5 linked regions of the Sus scrofa genome follow. The protein of the gene in region 3 purifies or fractionates together with the protein of the main gene of each other region. This does not show direct contact. Links are inferred from orthologs where the notes say so. Each region holds a gene or a part of one and is shown on either strand. Other genes may lie near its edges. The genes, in order: PHAX, KPNA1, NCBP2, KPNA2 and KPNA3.

Region 1 (4,580 bases), on a different chromosome or scaffold from region 3:
TCTTTTTTTTTTTTTGCCCTGCCTTTGTCCTATGCCAGTTCCCAGGGCAGGGATCTTTAATGCCTCCTCCACCGGGGGAACGCCCAAAAATGCATCACTGATTTTAAATCAGTGAGGATGTTGGAGTGTTATCAAGCATTCATGACTTTTTTTTAAAAAAAAACAACTTCATTGAGGAATATTATAGATAATTGAGTTGTAGCCTCTCTTCCTTCTGGTGTCTGCTCCCCTTGTGGCTGAAGTTGGTGGGGGGCAGGGCTTGCTGTAGGCTTCCTGATGGGAGGGACTGATGCCGCCCACTGGTAGGTGGAGCTGATTCCTATCCCTCCGGTGGGTGGGGCTTTGTCTCTGGGTGGATTAGAGGCGGCTGTGTGCTGGGGGGGTCTTTAGGCAGCCCGTTTACTGATGGGCGGGGCTTTGATCCCACCGGGATTGTTGTTTGCTCTGGGACTTCTCAGTGCTGATGGGTGGGGCCAGATTTTCCCAAAATGGCCACCTCCAGAGAAAGGCAAGTTGCTGAATATTCCCGAGAGCTTTGCTTCCAGTGCCCTTCCCCCACAACAAACCACATTCACCCGTGTTTTCCCAGGAGGTCCTCCAAGAACTGCAGTCAGGTTAGACCCAGATTCCCGTGGAGACTTTGCTTTGCCCTGGGACCCAGTGCACGTGGAAGTCTGTGTGCGCCTTTTAAGAGTGGGGTCTCTGTTTCCCCCAGTCCCGTGGAGCTCCTGCGCACAAGCCCCACTGGCCTTCAATGCCAGATGCTCCAGGGGCTATTTCTCCCTGTGCCAGATCCCCACACGTGAGGGTTTGATGTGGGGCTCAGAACTCTCACTCCTGTAGGTGAGTCTCTGTGAAACAGTTACTTTCCAGTCTGTGGGGCTTCCCACCCGGGAGGTATGGGGTTGCTTATATCGTGTAATCGCCCCTCCTGCCTCTTGATGTGGCCTCCTCTTTGTCTCCTGGAGTAGGATATCTTTTTGAAAGTTTCCAGTCCGTTTGGTTGAAGATTGCTCAGTATTTGGTTGTAAATTTTGTTGTTTTTAGAAGAGAAGTTGTGTTCCAGTCCTTCTGTTCTGCCGTCTTAATCCTGTCTCCCCATCTGAGGCATATTACGGTACTTCTGATAAAATTCACCTATTTCAAGTGTTGATTTTTCAGTAATTTTACCAGTTGTACAACCATTACCATAAAGCATTTGAAAACATCTCCATTACCTGCTAAGATCCCTTATACTTATGAGCCCATTTAAAATTAGTTCCTGTTCCCATTCCCACATATCTGCTAATCTACTTTCTGTTGCTATCTATCAGTTTGCATTTTTCAGAAATTTCATGTTAATGGAATCACAGTGTCATCTCTTGTGCCTACCTGATTTCACTTAGTGCAGTGTTTTTGAAATTCGTCCATGTTATAGCAGGAATCAACAGTTTATTTGTGTGCGCATACACCCACACATCCATATTGGCTATTGAACTTTTTGGTAATCATAAATAATGTTGTTAGGAACTTTCATGTACTCATGTATGGATATATATGTTCATTTCTTTTGGCTAAATAGGAGTATAGTTGTTTGATGTGTGGTAAATTTACATTTCATGTATTTTTAAAAGTTGAAATTTTGTTTACTTTTGGGGGGGCACTCCCCACATCATGTGGAAGTTCCCAGGCCAGGGATTGAACCCTTGCCACAGCAGCTACCCGAACGACTGCAGTGACAACGCCAGATCCGTAATCCACTGCGCTGCTAGGAGAACTCCTAGTGCTGGCTTTTTATAGTACTGAGAGAGTTTGGAATTTGAATGCTGGAAAGGAACTTAGAGATTTTGTAAACCAAAGCCTTCACCTTTTTTTTTTTTTTTTTTTGGCTTTATTTAGGGCCACACCTGTGGCATAGGAGGTTCCCAGGCTAGCGATCTAATCGGTGCTACAGCTGCCGGCCTACACCACGGCTCACGGCAACGCCGGTTGGTTAACCCACTGATCAAGGCCAGGGATCAAACCGGAAACCTCATAGTTCCTAGTCGGATTCGTTTGTGCTGCACCACGACGGGAACTCCAAAAGCCTTCACTTTACAAATACAAAACTGAGGCCCAGTAGTTGTGTGGTTGCTCAAAGTCACAAATTTAGTAAGTGTCAGACCTGGAACTAAACTCTAGTCCCTTTGTTCCTAGTCTAGTGCTCTTTCCACAATAGCAAAGAAACAAAAGAAGCCATGGCTGGTTAGGACTGATTAGGGAACCGTTAAGACTTCAGTAATTTTAATCCTCCCTCATCTCTATGGAATATGGGCTCTAGTGCTTACTTAGGGTCCTTGTGTTTTTTACCTCTCATTGCTAAAATGAAAATAGTATCTGCTTTGTAAGGTTCTTGAGAGAATTAGCTGAGATGTAATGCATATATATAGTTCCTAGGATTGTGCTTATCCCATAATAAGCCTTTGGTAAATGTTAACTATATCATTTGTTTTAAGGCAGGGAGGCTGTGAGAGACAAATCCAATCCATTTTAAAGATCCAGGTCATCTCTGCAGTTAGGAGAGCTAACTTCTAGGCATAATAATCAAAAGCGTGATATGATCGAAAGCGTTTGTTATTTGTTGTGATGCGAGTGGACTGCTTATATCTTGCTTTTCGTCTCGTATTCCCCTTGCTGTGTGTGCATGTTTCTTTTGAAATCTGCCATAATCCAATAAGGCAAAGTGAAGAGGCCAGTTATCGGACCTGAGATGGAACCTTGAGGCTCCTCTTTTCTTGGGTGACCCAAGACAGGAATGTTTCTGTATCAGTAATTCCAGGGTTAAATAGTGAAGATTTTGAAAAGCAGCCATTACGAGATTGGAATGTTAATTCTAGCTGGGAACTAAATAGGAGACTAAAGTAGATGTCCTCAACTTTATACAACAAGTAACATAGTTAATATTATTACTTCATTTGCTCCTTAACAGGTTGCAGGAACCAAAGAAAGATTTGATCGCCCGAGTAGTGAGGATAATTGGGAACAAAAAGGCGATTGAACTTCTGATGGAGACTGCTGAAGTTGAACAAAATGGTGGCCTTTTTATAATGGTAAGACTAATTGCTTCGTTGTTTCTGATTTTGTATTATTTCGTATCTTTTTTTAATAAAATGCACTTGTCTCTATTGGGTCTCTTATTTATAAATTATTGCAGTTTTTTTCGGGTTTTTTAAAAACTTCATTAATAATGAAAAATTTGAGTTTAAAAATTCAGTAGTCAGTTTTTGCAGTTAATGCTTTCCTTACAAAAACATGCATATATTGTAGCCTGTTAGTGTGCAGTCAGCAACAAATCTCTCACAGGATGCATTAAGGGTAGGGGTTGAAATTTTAAGAAAAAAGTGGTGGGTGGGGGGGTGAGACCTGGAAGCTCAAATTTTGAGAATATGGCGTTTGGAGTTTGGGGTGTCTTGTTTTGAATTTTGGATGTGCAGATTACTAGATGTGACATTTGGCTAAATTAGTTGACTTCTCAGAACTCAGTCTCAGCTACAAAATGGGATTGTTCTTCTATTGTAAGGATTTAATGAGATAATGTATATAAAGTACGTATCACAGTGCCCAGAAGTTAATTAGCAGTGATGAATAAAAACGTTATTTTTGGTTCATTTAATTCATGAATTCTTGAAAACTGGTTCTTGGGGGCAGAAAAAAAATCTTGCTATGTAAAAAGCACAGATAGTTTTTTGTTTTGTTTTGTTTTGTTTGCTTTTTAGGGCAGCACCTGTAGCACATGGAGATTCCCAGGCTAGGGGTTGAATCAGAGCTACAGCTGTCAGCCTACATACACCACAGCCACAGCAACACAGGATGCAAGCCATGTCTGCAACCTGCACCACATCTCATGGCAACACCAGATCCTTAACCCACTGAGCAAGGCCAGGGATCAAACCCGTATCCTCATAGGTCCTAGTCGGGTTCGTTAACCGCAGAGCCAGGAAGGGAGCTCTATGTGCAGACAGATATAAAGTATAATAAGACCAGTGAGATAATGGAAATCTACTGAATGTTGGGAAGATACAAGTCTGATTTTACTTTCTTTTGGTGCAGTTTTTCCTTATACAGTTATTTATTGCTATGTACGATGCAGTGTTCTAGACACAGGAAGCTTATGTTGTAGTTGGGTGTGAGAGGGGAATAGTCCATAAAGAATAAATGTTGTATCTTCAGGAGTGCTAAAAAGTGACAGATGCTGGGAGGAAAGAAAGCGAGCAAATGAAAGTATAGCGAGTAGAGGAGGACACTGCAGTTAAACTGGGGGTGGTCACAGTAGATCCTAATAGCTCCTTGGGGAAGACTCTAAAAGTTGCTTTGGCAGTTCCCTTGTGGCTCAGTGGGTTAAGGACCTGTCATCGTCACTGCTGTGGTTCTGGTTACAAATGAAGCTCAGTTTCCATCCCTGGCCCAGGGAACCTCCACATGCTGTGGATGTAACCAAAAAATAAAAATAAATTGTTAAAAGTTGTCTTGGCCGTTAATCGGAAGAGTCTACACAGGTAATTCTTCTCTTCCTCTTTGTAGAATGGTAGCCGAAGAAGAACACCTGGTGGAGTTTTCCTGAA
Region 2 (4,580 bases), about 4.9 Mb from region 3:
CCCCCCTTTTACATAAACAGTAATATAACCTACATACTATTTTGTCTTTTTTTTTCCTAAACAACAGAACTTAGAGGTCCTTCCATATATGTGCTTAATAGCCTCATTCTGCTACATAGCGTTCCATTATATTGGTACCAGATTTTAAAGGATTTTAAACACTGTCTAAGGACAAAAGGAGGACATAAAAAGATTTCAAGAGAATGATATGAACAAACTTGCATTTTACAAGTATCCCTCTGGTGATATAGCAATGGTACAAAAAAAGCCTAAATGAAGCACTGCAAGGAATGAGCAGAGATGGTAGACAGTGACTGACAGAAAAGGTGGAGGAAAGAGAAGAATCAAGCTAATGTCCAGGTTTTTGGCTTGGGCAACTATTGGTGCCATTCAATGAGAGAGGAACGTAAATAAGCAGAGGTCCAGATACGCCAGAAAAACAATGAGTTCCCTTGTGGACAGAATAAATTTAAAGTAAATACTAAGAGTTGGAAGACACCTGAGAACAAATTCAGTCCCCTTAATTTTAGAGATTAGAAAAGTGAAGACATTAAATGTCTTTCTTGCCCAAAAGCTATTAGCTGGTTAAGAAAGCACTAAAGAGGGTGTTCCCATCGTGGCTCAGCAGTAACAAACTCGACTGTATCCGTGAGGATGCAGGTTCGATACCTGGCCTCGCTCAGTGGGTTAAGGATCCAGCATTGCCATGAGTTGTAATATAGGTTGTAGACGTGGCTCAGATCTTGTGTTGCTGTGGTTGTAGCACAGGCCAGCAGCTACAGCTCTGACTGGACCCCTAGCCTGGAAACTTCCATATGCCGCAGGTATAGTCCTAAAAAGACAAAAGACAAAAAAAAAAAAAAAAAGAAAGAAAGAAAGAAAAGCACTGAAAGATTAAAACCTAACCCTTTCCATGGGATAATCCCATAAACAGAAAAGAATGAATAAAAGGAGCTTACTAAGGAGAAATAAATGGTCATTGAGGCAAGTGACCCAAAATATTTCAACACCACAGAAGCCTAGGAAAATCATTTTAAAAGATGATGCCAATGTATCTGAGAGATAAGGAAGAAAAAGAGCTAGAACAATCCATTGTGAGTGATGTATCTTGACATAAATGTTGAATGGAGTAGAGGGTGACATTGAGAACAAATAGGGAAGATCCTCCCCACATACGCAAAAAAAAAGGAGGAAACTTTCAGGGAAGATGAGATGAAGCTGGCATGAAAGGATGCTACTAGAGACTTCTGATGCTCACAAGAACCACTTAAAGGTAGAAGTAGTGAGAAACAAACCTAACCAAAATGAACACAATAGTGGAACCCAAATGGGACCATAGGGGAACCCAAAAGTGCTACAAGCAACAGGTCAAGACAAACACAGTGAAAGTACTGAAAGTAACTGCTTAAACCAACATTTTAAACAAACATGAATGAAACAAAGTATCGATTCCCTCCAATAATATGGAATTAAATACTATAACAGAAATATAATCATGGGAGCCAATGCACTACTTATTTCTAAAGAGAAAAAAAAGTTACTGTTTATTCCTACCTGTGTCTGAATATCATCGCCTGTGACAATGTTTCCCACAGCCCGCAAAGCAGGAGAAACGACTTTATAATCATTATGCCTGTAATTATAAAAAGAAACATTATAGTTCTATAGTTTCTTTTCCTTAGGGTTGAAATCCAAAAGAAATAATAATAATAATAAAGAAATCCATTAGAATCTTGGAGCAGAAAGGTACTTATGGTGGTTATTAAGGGAACACTATCATGATGATGAAATGTTCTTTATATCCCTAGGAAAGGCTGTCTTTCCCTTTACTTAGTATTTTTGGGTAAAAACTACAAAACTGTCCCAATAATCTTTCCCAGGTATTCTATCATTTAGATTTCAAGCTTTCCCTCTCATTCTTTAATGTAGGTTTTCATTTCCTCTTTACTTGGACTCTACAGTTGATGAGATAATTGAAAACAATAGTTAACATTTATATAGAACTTTAGTTTCAAAAATCACAATTTTCACAGAAATAAAAAATATGGCAACAGTTGAACTAACTTGAAAACGAAAGCCAGGCTTCATACACTTTGAGCAGTGAACTTGCTACTAAACCTCAACTGACTTACTGGTCTGAAAAACTCCTCCACAAATCTTTTATACATCTGAAGAGAGACATCAGGTTTTGATTTCAGGCTAAATAAGTTACTATCTTTTAAATTTCCTTAAAAATCTTCTATCCCCTTTAAGGAGATTGATAACTCTTCTCAAAACTGCCAGTTTCTTCACATTTAAGAACTGATGACTAAAAATAAAATGGTTAAAATATATGGTATCTAATGACAGAAGAGGACATAAGATTACTTCTCCAATTGTGAATGCTATACTTCTGACTCCTCCAGTACCACACTGCTTTTAATTCACAACAGCATTATATCATTAATCTGTACCCACTCTGTGCCCAGCTGTAGTCCCAGAGTTTTATATTCTGTATATTATACTACCTAATCCATTCCACACATCATCTTTGGGGCAATGCTTTCTTGCATCTACTTAGTACTTAATTAAATGAGACATGGCTTGCAATTGTACCACATCCCTATTACGTTACCACTGTAATTTTTTCTTCTATAGTATTTCCTAAAAATTTGACTAATACAGTCTCAAATTATTTATGCCATCAGTAAATCTTCCACTTCATAAATGAAAGGCATCACAAAGAGATACAGCAAAATAAAATTCAAAGTCTGATACCAGTCTAAGTTTAGCTCTAAATGAGACAAAAGATAAGGAATTACTGTTTTTAATGGCAACAAGCCTTTGGTTATTCAGTGGTTGGACTCAGGTCTTTAAGCATTAGCTAGAAATATAGACCAGAGTTTTCAAAATGTTTCTACTGAAGGGCTGCTAAATAGCAGAAGAGTAAAAGGTTCTTTATAACCCTCAAAGCAATCAGACATCATTTAACATGAATATAAACAAATAAGACAGCAGCCCAAAGCACATTAAGTCAGCATAACATATTAACATTTGAGTATCATTAACTAGGAAATTAATATGAGAGACAAAAGAACAGATACAATTTCTTAAAGATTTCTTACATCAGCAGTTCCACCAGTCTCCTACATACTCCTGCATCAATGACTGCTTGAATTTTATCATTGGGCCCATCTGATAGATAAGACAGAGCCCAGCAGGCATCAGCCAATACATCAGTGTCACTGACAAAGAGCAACCAGGAAAGCACATTCAGACAGGGGGAAACCTGTAAAGGGAAGATGATATGGTTATGGAATTCAACAGACTAAAAGCAAGAAGTGAGGTGGGAAACTCCAGAAGGCAACCTGGCACACACCTGGTGATTTTGGGGATGACTTTTTAGTACTTCTGGAAATGGGAGTAATAAGTGGCCAAGTGACATTTCCATCTTTGGGAGTGCTGTCAATGACCTTGCAATTTACTTTGATGAGGTGATCAGAGCCCAAGGAAAACAATTTTTTTGGGGGGGGTTGTCTTTTTAGGGCCAGACCTGTAGCATATTGAAGTTTCTAGGCTAGGGGTTGAATCAGAGCCGTAGCTGCCGGCCTACGCCACAGCCACAGCAAGGGATCCGAGCTGCACCTGTGACCTATACCACAACTCAGGGCAACACCAGATCCTTAACCCACTGAGCGAGACCAGGGATCAGACCTGTGTTCTCATGGACACTTGTCGGGTTTGTTACCACTGAGCCATGACAGGAACTCCAAGGAAAATAATTTTAAAGAGCAAGTTTTATATATACCAGTTCTCAGAGTGAGACTCCTTGTCAAAACACACTCTTTGTGAACCAGAGGTAGAGGAATTTTCATAAGGGCTAAAGCTAGGAAATTCTGCATTTTAGCTACTTTGTTATGAAGAAAAAAATGCCAGATTTTAAGATTAATTCAGAACTTTTTTTAGAGGCAGTGAAAATTTATTCCAAATTAAAACATGCAACAAAAAAAACTTTTTTTAGAAATAAAATTCTAACATTTTAAATTTTATCAAAAATTATTTCTCATAAGCATAATCCCTACCTTTGCAAATTCTGGAGGTGGACTTTTCCCTCTACAGAGATTAGACAAAGCCCATACTGCATTCCGGGTCATGGTCAGGCGGTTTTGCTTTGAAAATAATCTGTAAGTATGATGATACAATAGTAAATGATATAATGGAAATGAATTATCTAATGGCATAATACAAATATCTATCATTTAATGCTATTGATAAACAGATGTCTTCAAATAGCTCTTCTCCAGAACAATAAAGTTTAATTAATTCTAACACAAGGAACTCAGAATTCTGGCACTGGAATAACAGGATGCCTGATGGCTGATCCAAACAAGTTCATAAGAAAATATCTATAATGAAAAGTAACACTAGGAAATTCAAAGTGATTTCCAACGATGTTCTGCTTTTTCAGGAACTTCTCTTATTTTTATTACTCATAAAAAATAAAAAGAAAGAGACTTACTGCAAAAGAGGAGGAAGAATATTGCAGTCTAAGACATAGTCCCTGCACATGGTACTATCTCCAGCAATGTTGCCAAGGGCCC
Region 3 (4,580 bases):
GCCAGGAATCGAACCCACAACCTCACGGTTCCTAGTCGGATTTGTTAACCACTGTGCCACAACAGGAACTCCTGGACTCAGAGTTTTAAAGTAGAGTCTCTTTCAAAAACAAGATGAAGGACTTATGCATTAACTATGTTATTCTATAAACAGCTACATTATGTCCTAAGGATATCCCCTTTTGATATTACAAATTAGATAACCTCAGCCATTGCTGTCCCTGCCCACTAATCTTGTCACATTCATTAATCCCATCAATAATAATTTCATCACCTTCTTTAATAAAAAGATGTGGGCTAAAGCCTAGGTGCCTTTGCTTTGTTCTGCGAACACTAGCCTCGTGGTCCCCCACTTTCTAAATGTAAGAGCCTTGTGGTTGTTATACCTCGACGTCCCTCTTCCAGGATTCCCATTTCCCTGCAGCTCAGTGATAACAAACCTGACTAGAATTCATGAGGACACCAGTTCGGATCAGTGGGTTAAGGATCCGGCATTGATGTGAGCTATGGAGTAGGTCACAGACCTGCTTGGATCCTGTGCTGCTATGGCGTAGGCCAGGCAGCTACAGCTCTGATTTGACCCCAGCTCAGGAACTTCCATATTTCCATGTGCTACAGGTGTAGCCCTAAAAAGATAAAACAGACAAAAACAAAACACCAAACAAACAATTCAAGGCACAGAAAATTCAAAAGACATGTTAGATCAGGTCTGGGAAATTTCTCAAACAAAATGACCCAAAAAGGAAATATTAATTAAAAAAAACAAAAACATCAGGAGTTCCCCTTGTGGCTCAGTGGTAACAAACCTGGGTGTCCAAGAGGATGGAGGTTTGATCCCAGGCCTCACTCAGTGAATTAAAGGATCTGGTGTTGCCATGTGAACTATGGTATAGGCTGCAGATACAGCTTGATTTGGCATTGCTGTGGCTGTGGCATAGGCCAGCAGCTGTATCTCCAATTCTACCCCTAGCCTGAGAACTTCCAAAAGCCACAAGTGCAGCCCTAGAAAGCAAAAAGCAAAAAAAAGACTTAATCAACTACAAACAAAGCATGGATTTCAGAACAGAATATAAATGTTACCAGCTTTCCTAATATAAGAATACAGATACACTGGAGGTAAGAGTAGATGAAGGAAGGAGAGGTAGAGATAAGTGTCAGATGCTAATTAGTGAATATTCTCACTTATGTAACCCGCTACACTGCTACACTCGGGCCCACTGCTGGCCGCCATCTATAGACACACAGGAAGGATACTCCACAAAGCAAAACCCACACGCTGTTTTCTTCATTTTATCCAGGCCCATGATGATTTTCTTTATGTCACCACTTTTGCTGAAGAGTTCATAGATTTGTTCTTCAGTTGTATAAAAGGAAAGATTTCCAACATACAATGTACAGCTTTTCTTCAGTAACTTCTCCTGTTCTTCATTGTCACCCTAGAAATTCAAATGGAGAAAAAGCTAAGTAACACAATCTAAGGAGAGCCGTGCTTAAGTAGAATTCCTAAGTATGGGAAAACTGTCATTAATTCTGATTTGGAAATCAGTTTTTCTTAATCATCCCAACTCTCAATCATCCCTTGCCAAGGGTGTTAGATTCTAAGAAGAACTTTTGCAAGGCCCAGACTGCTTTTAGTAGAGGGCCACAGCTTAAGGTTATATACAGCCCTCCTTCTCCAACACAAGTGGTATGATTTTTGCCTGCATTCTCCATATTCTCAGCACTGGATCCTTCTCTAATGGCCCAAGTTTAATTTCAGGACCTTGAACCAATATACTAGAAATGACCTTTTTATTTTCTTTAGTGAAAAATAAATGGTTAGAGATAGGGTATTCCCTATATACTCCTATAGAGAATGTTCAGAGCAACAACTGACTGGATGATTTACATGCTCTTATATATTTTTTGCATTTAGGAGAAAATGTAGTGATCACCAAAAACAACAGATCTTACTATCTTGACAGGCTTCCTAATTTGGAAGACAGGATGAAGCCAAGGACAGGTGTGTAACAATCCTGTCCTGTGTCTGACAATCCTTGGGGACAAAATGGCTTAGCATGGGCTAGACACAGTATCTTACCTACCGTCACAAAAGTCAGTAAGTATGGCTGTCCTTAGACCTTCTCTTCTAGCCTCCACAATGGGGAGGACAAAGGCTGATTAAATAGGAGGTCTAGGAGTTCCCGTCGTGGCGCAGTGGTTAACGAATCCGACTAGGAACCATGAGGTTGCGGGTTCGGTCCCTGCCCTTGCTCAGTGGGTTAACGATTTGGCGTTGCCGTGAGCTATGGTGTAGGTTGCAGACGCGGCTCGGATCCTGCGTTGCTGTGGCTCTGGCGTAGGCTGGTGGCTACAGCTCCGATTGGACCCCTAGCCTGGGAACCTCCATATGCCGCGGAAGCGGCCCAAAGAAATAGCAAAAAGACAAAAAAAAAAAAAAAAATAGAAGGTCTACCAGCTGACCTGCTCTCAGGCCCCTCTGATCCAGGTTAGGGCTCAATCATCAACTATACATCAACTATATTCTAGCTTGGAAAGTAGCTAAGTAGATCCACACTCTTTGCCCCACAGCACTTTCCCAAGAGGCTCCCCTTATTATTCCATATATAATGATAATCCAGTTTCCTTTACTCTGAAAATAAGATTTTGCAGAGTTCCCGTTGTGGCGTGGTGGAAACAATCCAACTAGTAACCATGAGGTTGTGGGTTCGATCCCTAGCCTCACTCAGCAGGTTAAGGATCCAGCTTTGCTGTGAGTAGAGGTATAGGTCGCAGACAAGGCTTGTGTCCTGAGTTGCTGTGGCCTGTGGTGTAGGCCAGCACCTGTAGCTCCAACTCGACGCCTAGCCTGGGAACCTCCATATGCGGCAGGTATGGCCCTAAAAAGAAAAAAAAAAAAAAAAAAAAAGATTTTGCATCCATCTCTGAACGCTTTTAGCACAAGACTCAGAGTAATCTCATTCGGTGATCCCATTCAGTGGTAGACCAAAAACAGGAACCATCTAAACTCATGTCAAAAGGAAAATGATGAAAGATTGTGGTACATCAATAAGTATAAAACTATACAACCCCTAGAAAAATGTATTTCTACTGCAATGATACAGAGCATCTCCAAGATAGGGAGCAAAGTGGGGGGGGGAGGCACAGAACAATGTGAAGGACATGCTCTGAGTTATATTTCTTAGAAGTATAAATGTACCCAGCTACCATACATAAGAGACAGGTAATACGTTTGCCTCTAGGGAGAATCAAGAGACTACAGGTCAGATTGCCATGTATGAAGTCTCATTTACTTCTCAGAGCTGAATGAGGTAGGTCCTAATTTACTATTCTCATTCTGCATGAGGAAAGAGCTAAGTAACTTGTCCAAGTCACACAGCTCATCAGTAGTTGTAGCTGGAATCCAAACCCAGTCTTCAATACCCTATTTCCTTAAAAAGTTGACAGGAATCATTCTATGTTAAAAATAGGTTTTTTCAGGACTTTGAAATGAGAATTAAATAATTTATATTACTACTTTATATTACCGACTTGTTAAAATTATGATCAAGAGGCATATTCCTTTCTTTTCATATAAGTAGTATCCCAACATAGAGCCTACAATTAAGACAACTGTAGTGTACTTATTTAAATTAAGATAGCTGTAGTGTAAGTACTTATTTAAGGTATGATATTGGCCTCAAATTTCCTGTTTCCCTAGCCTACTAACACATTTTAAACATTCTCCACACCTACCCTCTTCTTTATGTGCCCACTCCTTTCCCAGTCACAGGAGAATTTTCTGAATTCTCACAGCCCCTCTCTTTCCATTCATCATTTCTGCTCTAGACTACCTGCCTCCACTGTAAATCCCTACACTTCCACCGTCCTTCCATTTACAATCCTATAAACCCTAGAGGATTATGAACTCTTAGGGTGTGGAAACTCTTCCCTCTCCCTCCAGAGTTTAGCAAAAGGCTTCAGCAACAGTACAATATAAACTTTTCAAATAACCAACAGTTAATAAGTGGCGCCTTCACCCCACCCCCACCTTTTTTGATACTGAAGACCTCACCTTAAAAACCCGCAGCCTCCCCCTTCCCACAGAATCTGCTATGATGTGGGCCAACCGAAAATTTCCCTCAGCAGTTCTCTAATCTTGACAATCAGACACCTAACATGATGGTCCACTCGGAGGGCTCCCTAAAGGTGGAGGCAAGGCTCAACTCTGTCTCCCACCCACCAGGTACAACTCTGTGAGGCCGTTTTACTGCCCAAGGGAATGGATGCGAAACACCAAAGCACAGTTAGGCTGATCTAATTTAAGGTAAATAATTAAAAGCCCCGGTATCTCAGTCAAGAAGGTGCCTTCACACGCTCCACATATCAAAAGAATACCCCTTCCCCTCATCGCAAAGTCACAGTTTGTGAAAATGTGAGCTACCGCTACTACAGCCGCCCATCTGCATCGGCCGGGGAACAGGGAGCAGCTACCAGGGGATGTAAAAGGGAGTTTCAAATTCCCCTCCTAGGAGAGAAAGGGATTTGGTGATAACCAAACGCCCTTTCAGCATCCACTCCCCAGTAGGCACCGAGGCCCGG
Region 4 (5,238 bases), on a different chromosome or scaffold from region 3:
TTCACCTTGAGTCTTCAGCCCAAATCCCCACCTCTGCCACCACAGCTTTTACCTTCTGTGGGGGAAACAGAGCAGTGAAGACTTGGCTCATCACTTCTCCGCTCATCAAAAAAGCAGAGGCTTACAGTACGTTAAAAATGCAGTTGGTTTCCTGGGGCGCTGGAGTCAATACTCCACCCTCCCCCTGCCACTTCTGCTAATGGCACAGCTACCTCTTCCGAGCAGCAAGTGGCTTTCGCAACCCAGACGGCACAGACAGGGATGAAATTAAAAAACAGAACCTACAGGACTTGAATCCCACTCCTTCCCGACTAAACTTTCCCAGGTGATGCCAACGTGCAGCCTTGAAACCACTTTCAGCCTTGAAGTTTGGGAGGAATGAATTGCACTTGTAGCTCCAGGAAAAAATGAAGATGAAATTTAAGATTTTTATCCCATCTTCCTGGCCAGTAAGACTTATGGAGACACTGGCTGAGGGTTTCTGGGAAATTTTACTCGTTCTCCAGTGAAAACTTCTGAAAAAATTGATAGGTGTGAAATGGATGTGAAGTCTGAAAGCGCCATTGGCCATTTTTACCAACCAAAAGGGGAAGCAGTTTAGAACAAAGCAGAATCAATCAGTGCTCGCTTCGGCAGCACATATACTAAAATGGGAAAGATACAGAGATTAGCATGGCCCCTGCGCAAGGATGACACGCAAATTCGTGAAGCGTTCCATAAAAAAAAAACAAAGCAGAATCAAAAGTGGGCAGGAAGTTATCAAGCCCATATCCTTGATGACATGACAAAATGATGTCTGCAACCAGAACATCTTTGGTAGTCATGGTTCAGTTCCCCCTCATCTATAACCTTTAGGAGCCCCAAACTAGAAAGCAACACATAGGAAATGCAAAGTAAAGAAAAGGGTGGAATTTAATCTTTATTTACAGGACACTGCAAGATATGAAATTCCACATAGAAATAAGAACCCTACTGAGAGTAGAAGCTTCATACAGTATGTACAGTTTGGAACTGTTCAAGTATAGTTTCAGTTGTAAAAAGTGCTACAATAACAAACCACATTTAAAAAGAGCTCTTAGTAGAGAAACAGTAAGACCAACTTTTATCAAACATAGTACGCAACAAACAACTTTATGCCTCAGATGTGCAGTCTAAAAGTTGAAGGTCCCAGTAGCGCTGTCCTGAACTTGGAATGTATATCCTTCAGAGGTAGTTTCTGGCACAACATTTTGATCTTCCTCTTCCTGGAGTATTTAAAAACAAAACAATATAAAATGTTTCTAAGAGGCAGATGCCTACAAGTTTGTATTTACTCTTTTTTCTTCTTTTATCTCTAAGCTGAAAACGAAAACCAGTTTACCCATGTCTCCCACCCCCACTTTTGGCAACCACAAATCTGTTCTTGTGTGCATGTTTCTTTTTGGCCATGGCAATGACTGCAGCATTTGGAAGTTCCTGGGCCAGGGATAGAACCTGCACCACAGAAGCACCAATAGAGGATCCTTAACCTGCTTAGCCACAGGGGAACTCCGTGTGTGTGTTTTTAACATCACACATATAAGAGAGATCACCTGGTGGTATTTGTCTAACTCATTTCACTTAGCATAAATACCTACTAGGTATTCACTCCTAAGGTCCTCATTTGCATATTTCACCTTTAATCCTGCATTGTATCTTTTTTTTTTTCCGTCTCTTGTCTTTTTAGGGCTGCACCCTCGGCATATGGAGGTTCCCAGGCTAGAGGTCTAATCGGAGTTGTTGCCAGCAGCCTACGCCAGAGCCATAGCAATGTCAGATCTGAGCTGCGTCTCTGACCTACACCACAGCTCACGGCAACACCAGATCCTTAACCCACTGGGTGAGGTCAGGGATTGAATCTGAAACCTCATGGTTCCTAGTCGGATTCATTTCCACTGCACCAAGATGGGAACTCCCCCCTTTGTTTTGTCTTTTGTAATCCTGCGCCATATTTTCAATATCTGAAAGAGTGGATGGAAAGCTCTGAAACTTGCCAACTCATGAGTGCCTGGGAGGGAAGTTATGAACAGGTTAAGAAATGCTACTACGGCAACAGAAAAGCAGAGATTTTCTTAACCTGTCACTTCAGAAGGCAGCTTATTAGGCCAGAGGCTCACTTCTCTAACGTCTATACAAACTCACTCTCAAGATAGTCTAAGCTCTCTAAGGCTATTCATTTGAAAGTAAATGGGTGACTTTTTAATACCTCAGTTTAAAAAGATGGTATTATCTTCAAGTCAAACATGAGATGAACAAATATGTATGTTATACCCCACTTGAGACTGATATGATATACTGCTATACTGAACAGCGCTCATCTAAAAAGTATGAGGAAAAATATCTTATGGGCTTAACCTTAAATGTGTATTTTTCCAGTTCTTATTGACATTGCTACTCACCTCCACAGAGAAATACTTCTCAATCAAGTTTAATGAAGCTTTGTACACAGACTCATTTTCATGGTTTTGGAGAGCTTCAATTTTGTCCAGACCTCCACATTCTTCAATCATTATACTAAGTTTCTCAGTTTCACCTAGTTTCTCAGCAGCCTGCAAAAAATTCCAAGTTTAGTAGCCTACACTTTGAAAGACCTTTTTTTTTTTTTTTTTTTTTTTTTTTTTTGGTCTTTTTGTCTTTATAAGGCCGCAACTGCAGCACATGGAGGTTCCCAGGCTAGGGGTCTAATGGAGCTGTAGCCGCCGGCCTACACCACAGCCACAGCAACACCAGATCCTTAACCCACTGAGCAAGGCCAGGGATCGAACCCCAAACCTCATGATTCCTAGTTGGATTCATTTCCACTGTGCCATGACGGGAACTCCCTGAAAGTTCTATTTTAATGAAGAAAACAATTTCTATGTTTTAGTGTCCATGTGTATCAGACAGAAATAAACACGTGAGTTTATTTAACAACCCTATGAGAGAGAACTATCTGCATTTTACCTATGTTTTATATTTTTGAAAAATTCAAGCGAATCAGATTTTGCTTCTTAGCAACTACTTCTGTAGCTTTCAGCCACAAAGATCTTAGTATAGTTCTTAACCTTTTCTGTACATCAAAATCACCCAGGCAACTTTAAAAATGACACTATATCCAGGTTCAGTTGGCCTGTGATGGGAATAGGAAATTACTGTTTTGTAAAGACTCCAGATAATCCCAAGGTGTATGTAGTAAGAGTGGAGAATCACTGTCCAAGGGTAAAGATGGCCTGTGGTTTGTAAAAACAAATTCCTCTGACTGGATCATTTGTTGATACCAAGAGAATGGTACGGTGGTCAGATACTTTTCAAAGTCCTCAACTTTTAGGACATACATAAATATTTACAAGTAAAATAACGTATTTGCTTCAAAATAAAAACTTAAGGTAAGTGTGAGTAGGAAAAGAAGCCAAATGTTGCCGACTTATTTATGTTAGGTAATCATATTCTAAACTCAACTTTGATATGTGAAAATTTCCATAATCAAAGTTGTTGAGTAAGACCTAACCACCATTAAATACTGACAAAGTGCCATGTGCCAGCACATGTGGATCACTCAGGGCTTGAAACCAGAAGAAAAATATAACTGACCGGGTCGTTCGAATTTTTTTTTTTCTTTTTGCCTTTTCTAGGGCTGCACCTGCAGCATATGGAGATTCCCAGGCTAGGGGTCTAATAGGAGCTGTAGCCGCCAGCCTACACCAGAGCCACAGCAACGCAGGATCCGAGCCGCGTCTGTGACCTACACCACAGTTCATGGCAACGATGGATCCTTAGCCCACTGAGCGAGCCAAGGATCAAACCCGCAACCTCGTGGTTCCCAGTTGGATTCGTTAACCACCAAGCCACGACAGGAACTCCTGGTTGGTCAAATTTAATTTCATACTGAATTACAGTATGAAATTGGGGAATCAGGAGTTCCTGTCATGGCACAGCAGAAAACAAATCTGACTAGGAACCATAAGGTTTTGGGTTCAATCCCTGGCCTCACTCAGTGGGTTAAAGATCTGGCGTTGCTGTGAGCTGTGTTGTAGGTCGCAGACGCAGCTTGGATCTGATGTTGCTGTGGCTCTGGTGTAGGCCAGTGGCTACAGCTCTGATTCGACCCCCAGCGTGGCAACCTCCATATGCTGCCAGTGCGGCCCTAAAAAGACAAAAGACCAAAAAAAAAAACCAAAAAACAAAAACTGGGGGATTAAGACATCTTGACAAAATAAACAGATATGAATCGTGTCCACATATGTACCTGACCTCAATTCAGTCACATCATGCATTTGTCATTCCTTTTATATCTCTTATAATCCTTGCCAGGTCTTATTTTATCAAGAGTGTGGCTCATATGAAGAGGCTTTCTGATTCTGTGGCCCACTCAGGAAATTTAGCTGCCTCCACCCCCACCTTGCCATCATCTAAATAGTAAACCAGGGAATTCCCACCATGGCTCAGCGGAAACGAACCTGATTAACATCCATGAGGACAAAGGTTTGATCCCTGGCCTCGCTCAGTGGATTAAGGATCTGGCGTTGCCATGAGCTGTGATGGAGGCTGGCAGCTACAGCTCCAATTCGACCCCTAGCCTAAGAACCTCCATATGCCACCGGTGCGGCCCTAAAAAAAGACCAAAAAACAAAAAAAACCCACCAAACCTCTAGTGTCATCACTTTTGAGGCTAAGCTTTGATCCCTGACCTGTGAATTTCTGCATGCCAAGGGTGTGGCCAAAAAAAAAAAAAAGGCAACTTACCTGAAAGATATTAGAAATGGCATCCAGAATAACCAGGATAATTTTGGTATCTTTTGCAGTTAAGAGGTTCATCAATGGTTCTATTATGCCACAGTGGACAAGGTACACGATCTGTTCAACTGTTCCACCACTTGTGTAATTGGTCACAGCCCATACAGCTTCCTTTTGTGTCTTAAAGTCTGCCTAATAAACACAAGAAAACAGGTGTATTTCAGAATGGGCATAAAAATAAGATTCCAAAAGTACTCTTTTAGAAAAATAGTGACTAAAACTACCATCTGACTATTATTTAGCAAAAGACTATAAGTAGGACCTAACATTAGTACATTAAGAACCTTATGAAGTACAGTTCTACCAAGTGGCCTCTGGAAGCAATCCTTTATGAAGGCCTAAGGCTTCTTACCTTCGAGAGAACGCCAACAAGGAATGGGACCAATCCATGATTTACAACTTGCTGTATCTGGTCCTGGCGACCAGCTGTAATATTTGACATTGTCC
Region 5 (4,580 bases), on a different chromosome or scaffold from region 3:
AATGTCAAAGAAAAGGTTTCTAGGTAGATGTTAGTTGTAAAAGAAAGGGAACAGATTTTAGACTAAGGCTTTCAATAGAGACTAGTAGGTACCATTAAATAACAATATTTTGTTTTCATTTTTAATTTTTTGGTTATTTTCCTTGTGTGGTAATTGATACTGGTATTCTGTTACAGAAGTGATGACTAAAATTAGTTAAAATACAAATATTAGTCGATTCAAACCTTCATACATTGCTGGTGGGAATGTAAAATAGTTCAGCCTTTTTAGAAAACAGTTTATCAAATGGTTAATCATAGAGTTACCACATGACCCCAGCAGTTCCCCTACTATGTGAAACTAAGAAATCTGAAAGCAGGTCCATATAAAGACTTGTACAGAAATGTTTTCAGCAGCATTACTCATCATAGCCCCCAAATGGAAATAACCCCAGTGTCCATTAGCTGATGAGTAGTAAACAAAATGTGATATACCATAGAATACTACTCAGCAATAAAAAAGAACAAAATGTGATATGCGCCATAATGTAGATGAACTGCAAAATCATTATTCCAAGCGAAAGAATCCAAACTACGTCTTATAAAATTTCATTAATATGAAATGTCCAGAATAGAAAAATCTATAGAGGCAGAAAGAGTAAGTGGTTGCCTAGAACTGGGGGAGAGAGTCTTAGGACTATTGTGGGTATGGGATTTCTTGGGGCAGGGGTGGTGTGATGGAAATGTTGTAAAATTAGATTGTGGTGATGACTACACAACCCTGTATAAATACTAAAAATCATTAAATTATACACTTAAAACAGACATTGTATTGCATGTAAATTATATCTCAGTAAAGCTATTAAAATGAGTCTATTTTAATTTAAACATTAAATAATACAGGTAGTATAGAGATAAACAGCTAAAAGTCCTACAGGTAGTATACAGTTGACTCAAATTTAAGAAAATTTAAGAAAAAGTGATCTAACTTTTTCTTAATTTCATATCTGAAGTGAGTACGATACCAATGTTTTGGAATTTGAATTAACATGTAAGTTATGTAAAGACTAAGTATTATAATGATAAGTTGTCTTGATACATAAAGTAGGCTTGATGTGGGAATACTCAGTTCTTTATAGTTAGTCCCCTATCAGCAATAGGGATCACACTGACTAGAAGTATTATATTCTAAGATTACATGTTCAGGATAGAAACTTTTTTTTAATATGTTATAAGAAAAATTTCATGCTGCTGTTTTCTTTTAATTAATACTATCATAGTAACTTTTAGACCCTCTCAATAGGTCTATTACTTGAATATTATTAGGGGAAATATAGAATTTATTTAGGATAAAGGTATTTGCCATGTTTATTCATTCAGTGAATTATAATTGGGCAGCTGTGGTGTGCCAAACTCTGCTGAAATCTATAAACTCTTCAACATTTTGCCGTATAAATAAGAGGTTTTTTTTTTTATTGTAGATGCCGTACCTCTTTTTCTAAGACTTCTTCATTCACCGCATCAGAATGTTTGTGAACAAGCAGTATGGGCTTTGGGAAATATTATAGGTAAGTTGCATTTAGGTTTGAAAAGACTCCACTTAAGTATCTTAATTAACTTTTTTCCTACATTGGCATAGCCATTACACACTATGTTTCCTCTAATTTTAACGTGGGTTGACTATCTTCTTGCCTCATTAATACTAACTTCAGATGGTACCTCTTTGAAATGGATATGAAATTTGCTATCAGGATTGGTAGGTTAAATTTGTGTTCCCCAAATCAAAATCTGGCGGAACAGCAGTGCTTGATGCCCTTGACTAATGGTGAGGAAACATAGAACATCAGTGTCCCGACATGAGCCATTGCATACATTTCAGACTTTCTCATCCTGAATGTAATTTTTTTTTTAAATACAATTTTCATTTCTGTAGGTGATGGTCCTCAATGTAGAGATTATGTCATATCACTGGGAGTTGTCAAACCTCTTCTGTCCTTCATCAATCCCTCCATTCCCATCACCTTCCTTCGGAACGTCACATGGGTCATTGTCAATCTCTGCAGGAATAAGGACCCCCCACCGCCTATGGAGACAGTTCAGGAGGTAAATGAAGAATTGCAAAGGCCAGATGGTATATTTTCCCTATGTTTATGCTTTAGATTTTCATGCACAGGAAATGAAATAATGCAAACACTGATTCCATTGCAGGTATGAGATTTTTTAAAGTAACGTGTCACACTTAACTTTTGCCTCCTGTGAAATACAAGTTGAGACTTGTGGCACCCGAATAAATGTCAGTCCACCCTAATTCAGGAAAACATAAAAAAATTCAAGCAGAAAAATGCCAAAGAAAATAAAATGTCAACATTTTATTGCTACATTGCATTGTTTTGTTGTTGTTGGCTTTTTTTTTTTCTTTTTCTTTTCTTTTTTAGGGCTGCAGGTGCAGCATATGGAAGTTCCCAGGCTAGGGGTCGAATCAGCTGTAGGTGCTGGCCACAGCCACATCTGCAACCTACACCACGGCTCATAGATCCTTGAGCCACTGAGCGAGGCCAGGGATCAAACCCACATCCTCATGGATACCAGTCAGATTTGTTACCACTGCACCACAACAGGAACGCCACACTGTTGATTTTTAACACTAAAAAAAACAAGGGATTGCTACAGATAAAATGATGAACTTAAATGTTCATGAGTGAGTTTGCCTGAAGTCCAATTGAAATTTCCCTTGATTCCTGACAAAATTAGTGCTCGTGATGTGTGACCTGCTTTGTGTTAAATATACGGATTAAAACAAAATAAAATCTTTTCTATTTACACCTGATTTGTAAATGGATCTAAGTATGTTAAGTTTCAAAAAATCCTGTATAGCCTTTAATCGCTTGACTGTAGAGAATGTTGATTATGAATCTTTAATCTTTTTTTTTTTTTTTTTGGTCTTTTGTCCTTTTAGGGCCATACCCGTGACATATGGAGGGTTCCCAGGCTAGGGGTCCAATCAGAGCGTTACTGCTGACCTGCACCACAGCCACAGCAACGCCAGATGTGAGCCGAGTCTGTGACCTACACCACAGCTCACGGCGATGCCGGATCCTTAACCCACTGAGCAAGGCCAGAGATTGAACATACAAGCTCATGCTTCCTAGTCGGATTCATTTCCACTGCACCACAATGGGAACTTCTGAATCTTTCATCTTTATCGTTTTGACATCTTTTGCCTTCTTGGGCCACCTTTTGCCTTTAAGGGAAGGGTACTTAGTAATTCCTTCCAGTTCCACCCCACCCCCACCCCCCAGATTTAAAGAAAGATCTGTAATGCCTGAATTCAGCAAACTTTATACTGGTCATAATTTTCTTGACTAAATCTGAGGTCTGAAACTTTAATTTGACTCACGTAGCGTCTTAAGATCTTATTTTTAGGAGTTCCCGTTGTGGCTCAGTGGTTAATGAATCCGACTAGGAACCATGAGGTTGCAGGTTCGATCCCTGGTCTTGCTCAGTGGGTTAAGGAGGATCCGGCGTTGCCGCCGTGAGCTGTGGTGTAGGTCGCAGACATGGCTTGGATCTCGCATTGCTGTGGCTCTGGTGTAGGCCGGTGGCTATAGCTCCGATTCAACCCCTAGCCTGGGAACCTCCATATGCCACGGGAGTGGCCCAAAAAAAATGGCAAAAAGACAAAAAAAAAAAAAGATCTTATTTTTACTTTATGCAGGTAAGTGAGACATTGACAGCAGTTTTAAGAATAGCTTTTTAGGAGTTCCCGTCGTGGCGCAGTGGTTAACGAATCCGACTAGGAACCATGAGGTTGCGGGTTCGATCCCTGCCCTTGCTCAGTGGGTTAACAATCTGGCGTTGCCGTGAGTTGTGGTGTAGGTTGCAGACGCGGCTTGGATCCCGAGTTGCTGTGGCTCTGGCGTAGGCCGGTGGCTACAGCTCCGATTCAATCCCTAGCCTAGGAACCTCCTTATGCCGCGGGAGCGGCCCAAGAAATAGCAACAACAACAACAACAACAAAAAAGACAAAAATAAAAATAAATAAATAAATAAATAAAATTAGAAAGAATTAAAAAAAAAAAAAGAATAGCTTTTTAAAAATAGCTGTGCGTATAGTTACATTTTCATTCTTTCCAGTTGGCGTATTTCATATAGAAGATTATTGAAAACAATTATTTTTCCTCTAAGAGACATTAATCTCTGCCAGATTTTAATTAGACATCTGAAATTTGGTTTTGGTTTTTCAGATTGAATTTAGCAGATTTTTATTTTCCCAATAGAGATTCACACAAATTTAATGTTGTTTTTCTTGCCCTGCAAATAATATTTATTGCTTAAAAAAAAAAACAAAAACCACTGTTATTCAGTTTTACAAAGACATCTTCATCAACTCTAGTTGTTACTTGTCTATCTTCTTTCCTCAGATTTTACCAGCATTATGTGTCCTCATATACCATACGGACATAAATGTAAGTAAAGCAGAAGCTTAGATTTGAGATTTTACTCTGGATGGGACTGAAAGGGGTATTTATTCTTAATGCTTTTATTAAATGTCACCATGTATCTTATTAACTTGTCCAGCTTCCACAATGTATAAGTAGTTTT

What was found.
Region 1: the proteins of NCBP2 (region 3) and PHAX purify together in Homo sapiens (affinity purification with mass spectrometry; 5 studies listed by BioGRID and IntAct, with this or other methods). This does not show direct contact. The link is inferred for Sus scrofa from reciprocal best matches to the Homo sapiens genes NCBP2 and PHAX.
Region 2: the proteins of NCBP2 (region 3) and KPNA1 purify together in Homo sapiens (affinity purification with mass spectrometry; 3 studies listed by BioGRID and IntAct, with this or other methods). This does not show direct contact. The link is inferred for Sus scrofa from reciprocal best matches to the Homo sapiens genes NCBP2 and KPNA1.
Region 4: the proteins of NCBP2 (region 3) and KPNA2 purify together in Homo sapiens (affinity purification with mass spectrometry; 4 studies listed by BioGRID and IntAct, with this or other methods). This does not show direct contact. The link is inferred for Sus scrofa from reciprocal best matches to the Homo sapiens genes NCBP2 and KPNA2.
Region 5: the proteins of NCBP2 (region 3) and KPNA3 purify together in Homo sapiens (co-immunoprecipitation; 3 studies listed by BioGRID and IntAct, with this or other methods). This does not show direct contact. The link is inferred for Sus scrofa from reciprocal best matches to the Homo sapiens genes NCBP2 and KPNA3.

Annotation. Positions count from the first base shown.
Region 1 is NC_010444.4:129,716,330-129,720,909, forward strand, and holds part of PHAX (phosphorylated adapter RNA export protein), read left to right. Parts: intron 1-2,947; coding exon 2,948-3,068; intron 3,069-4,539; coding exon 4,540-4,580. UniProt on the Homo sapiens protein: A phosphoprotein adapter involved in the XPO1-mediated U snRNA export from the nucleus.
Region 2 is NC_010455.5:138,082,712-138,087,291, reverse strand, and holds part of KPNA1 (importin subunit alpha-5), read right to left. Parts: coding exon 4,499-4,580; intron 4,162-4,498; coding exon 4,062-4,161; intron 3,269-4,061; coding exon 3,105-3,268; intron 1,634-3,104; coding exon 1,555-1,633; intron 1-1,554. UniProt on the Homo sapiens protein: Functions in nuclear protein import as an adapter protein for nuclear receptor KPNB1. Binds specifically and directly to substrates containing either a simple or bipartite NLS motif.
Region 3 is NC_010455.5:133,183,255-133,187,834, reverse strand, and holds part of NCBP2 (nuclear cap-binding protein subunit 2), read right to left. Parts: intron 1,436-4,580; coding exon 1,254-1,435; intron 1-1,253. UniProt on the Homo sapiens protein: Component of the cap-binding complex (CBC), which binds co-transcriptionally to the 5' cap of pre-mRNAs and is involved in various processes such as pre-mRNA splicing, translation regulation, nonsense-mediated mRNA decay, RNA-mediated gene silencing (RNAi) by microRNAs (miRNAs) and mRNA export.
Region 4 is NC_010454.4:14,292,406-14,297,643, reverse strand, and holds the end of KPNA2 (importin subunit alpha-1), read right to left. Parts: coding exon 5,144-5,238; intron 4,924-5,143; coding exon 4,741-4,923; intron 2,568-4,740; coding exon 2,418-2,567; intron 1,245-2,417; coding exon 1,152-1,244; 3' UTR 895-1,151; downstream 1-894.
Region 5 is NC_010453.5:18,010,263-18,014,842, forward strand, and holds part of KPNA3 (importin subunit alpha-3), read left to right. Parts: intron 1-1,459; coding exon 1,460-1,546; intron 1,547-1,911; coding exon 1,912-2,081; intron 2,082-4,399; coding exon 4,400-4,444; intron 4,445-4,580. UniProt on the Homo sapiens protein: Functions in nuclear protein import as an adapter protein for nuclear receptor KPNB1. Binds specifically and directly to substrates containing either a simple or bipartite NLS motif.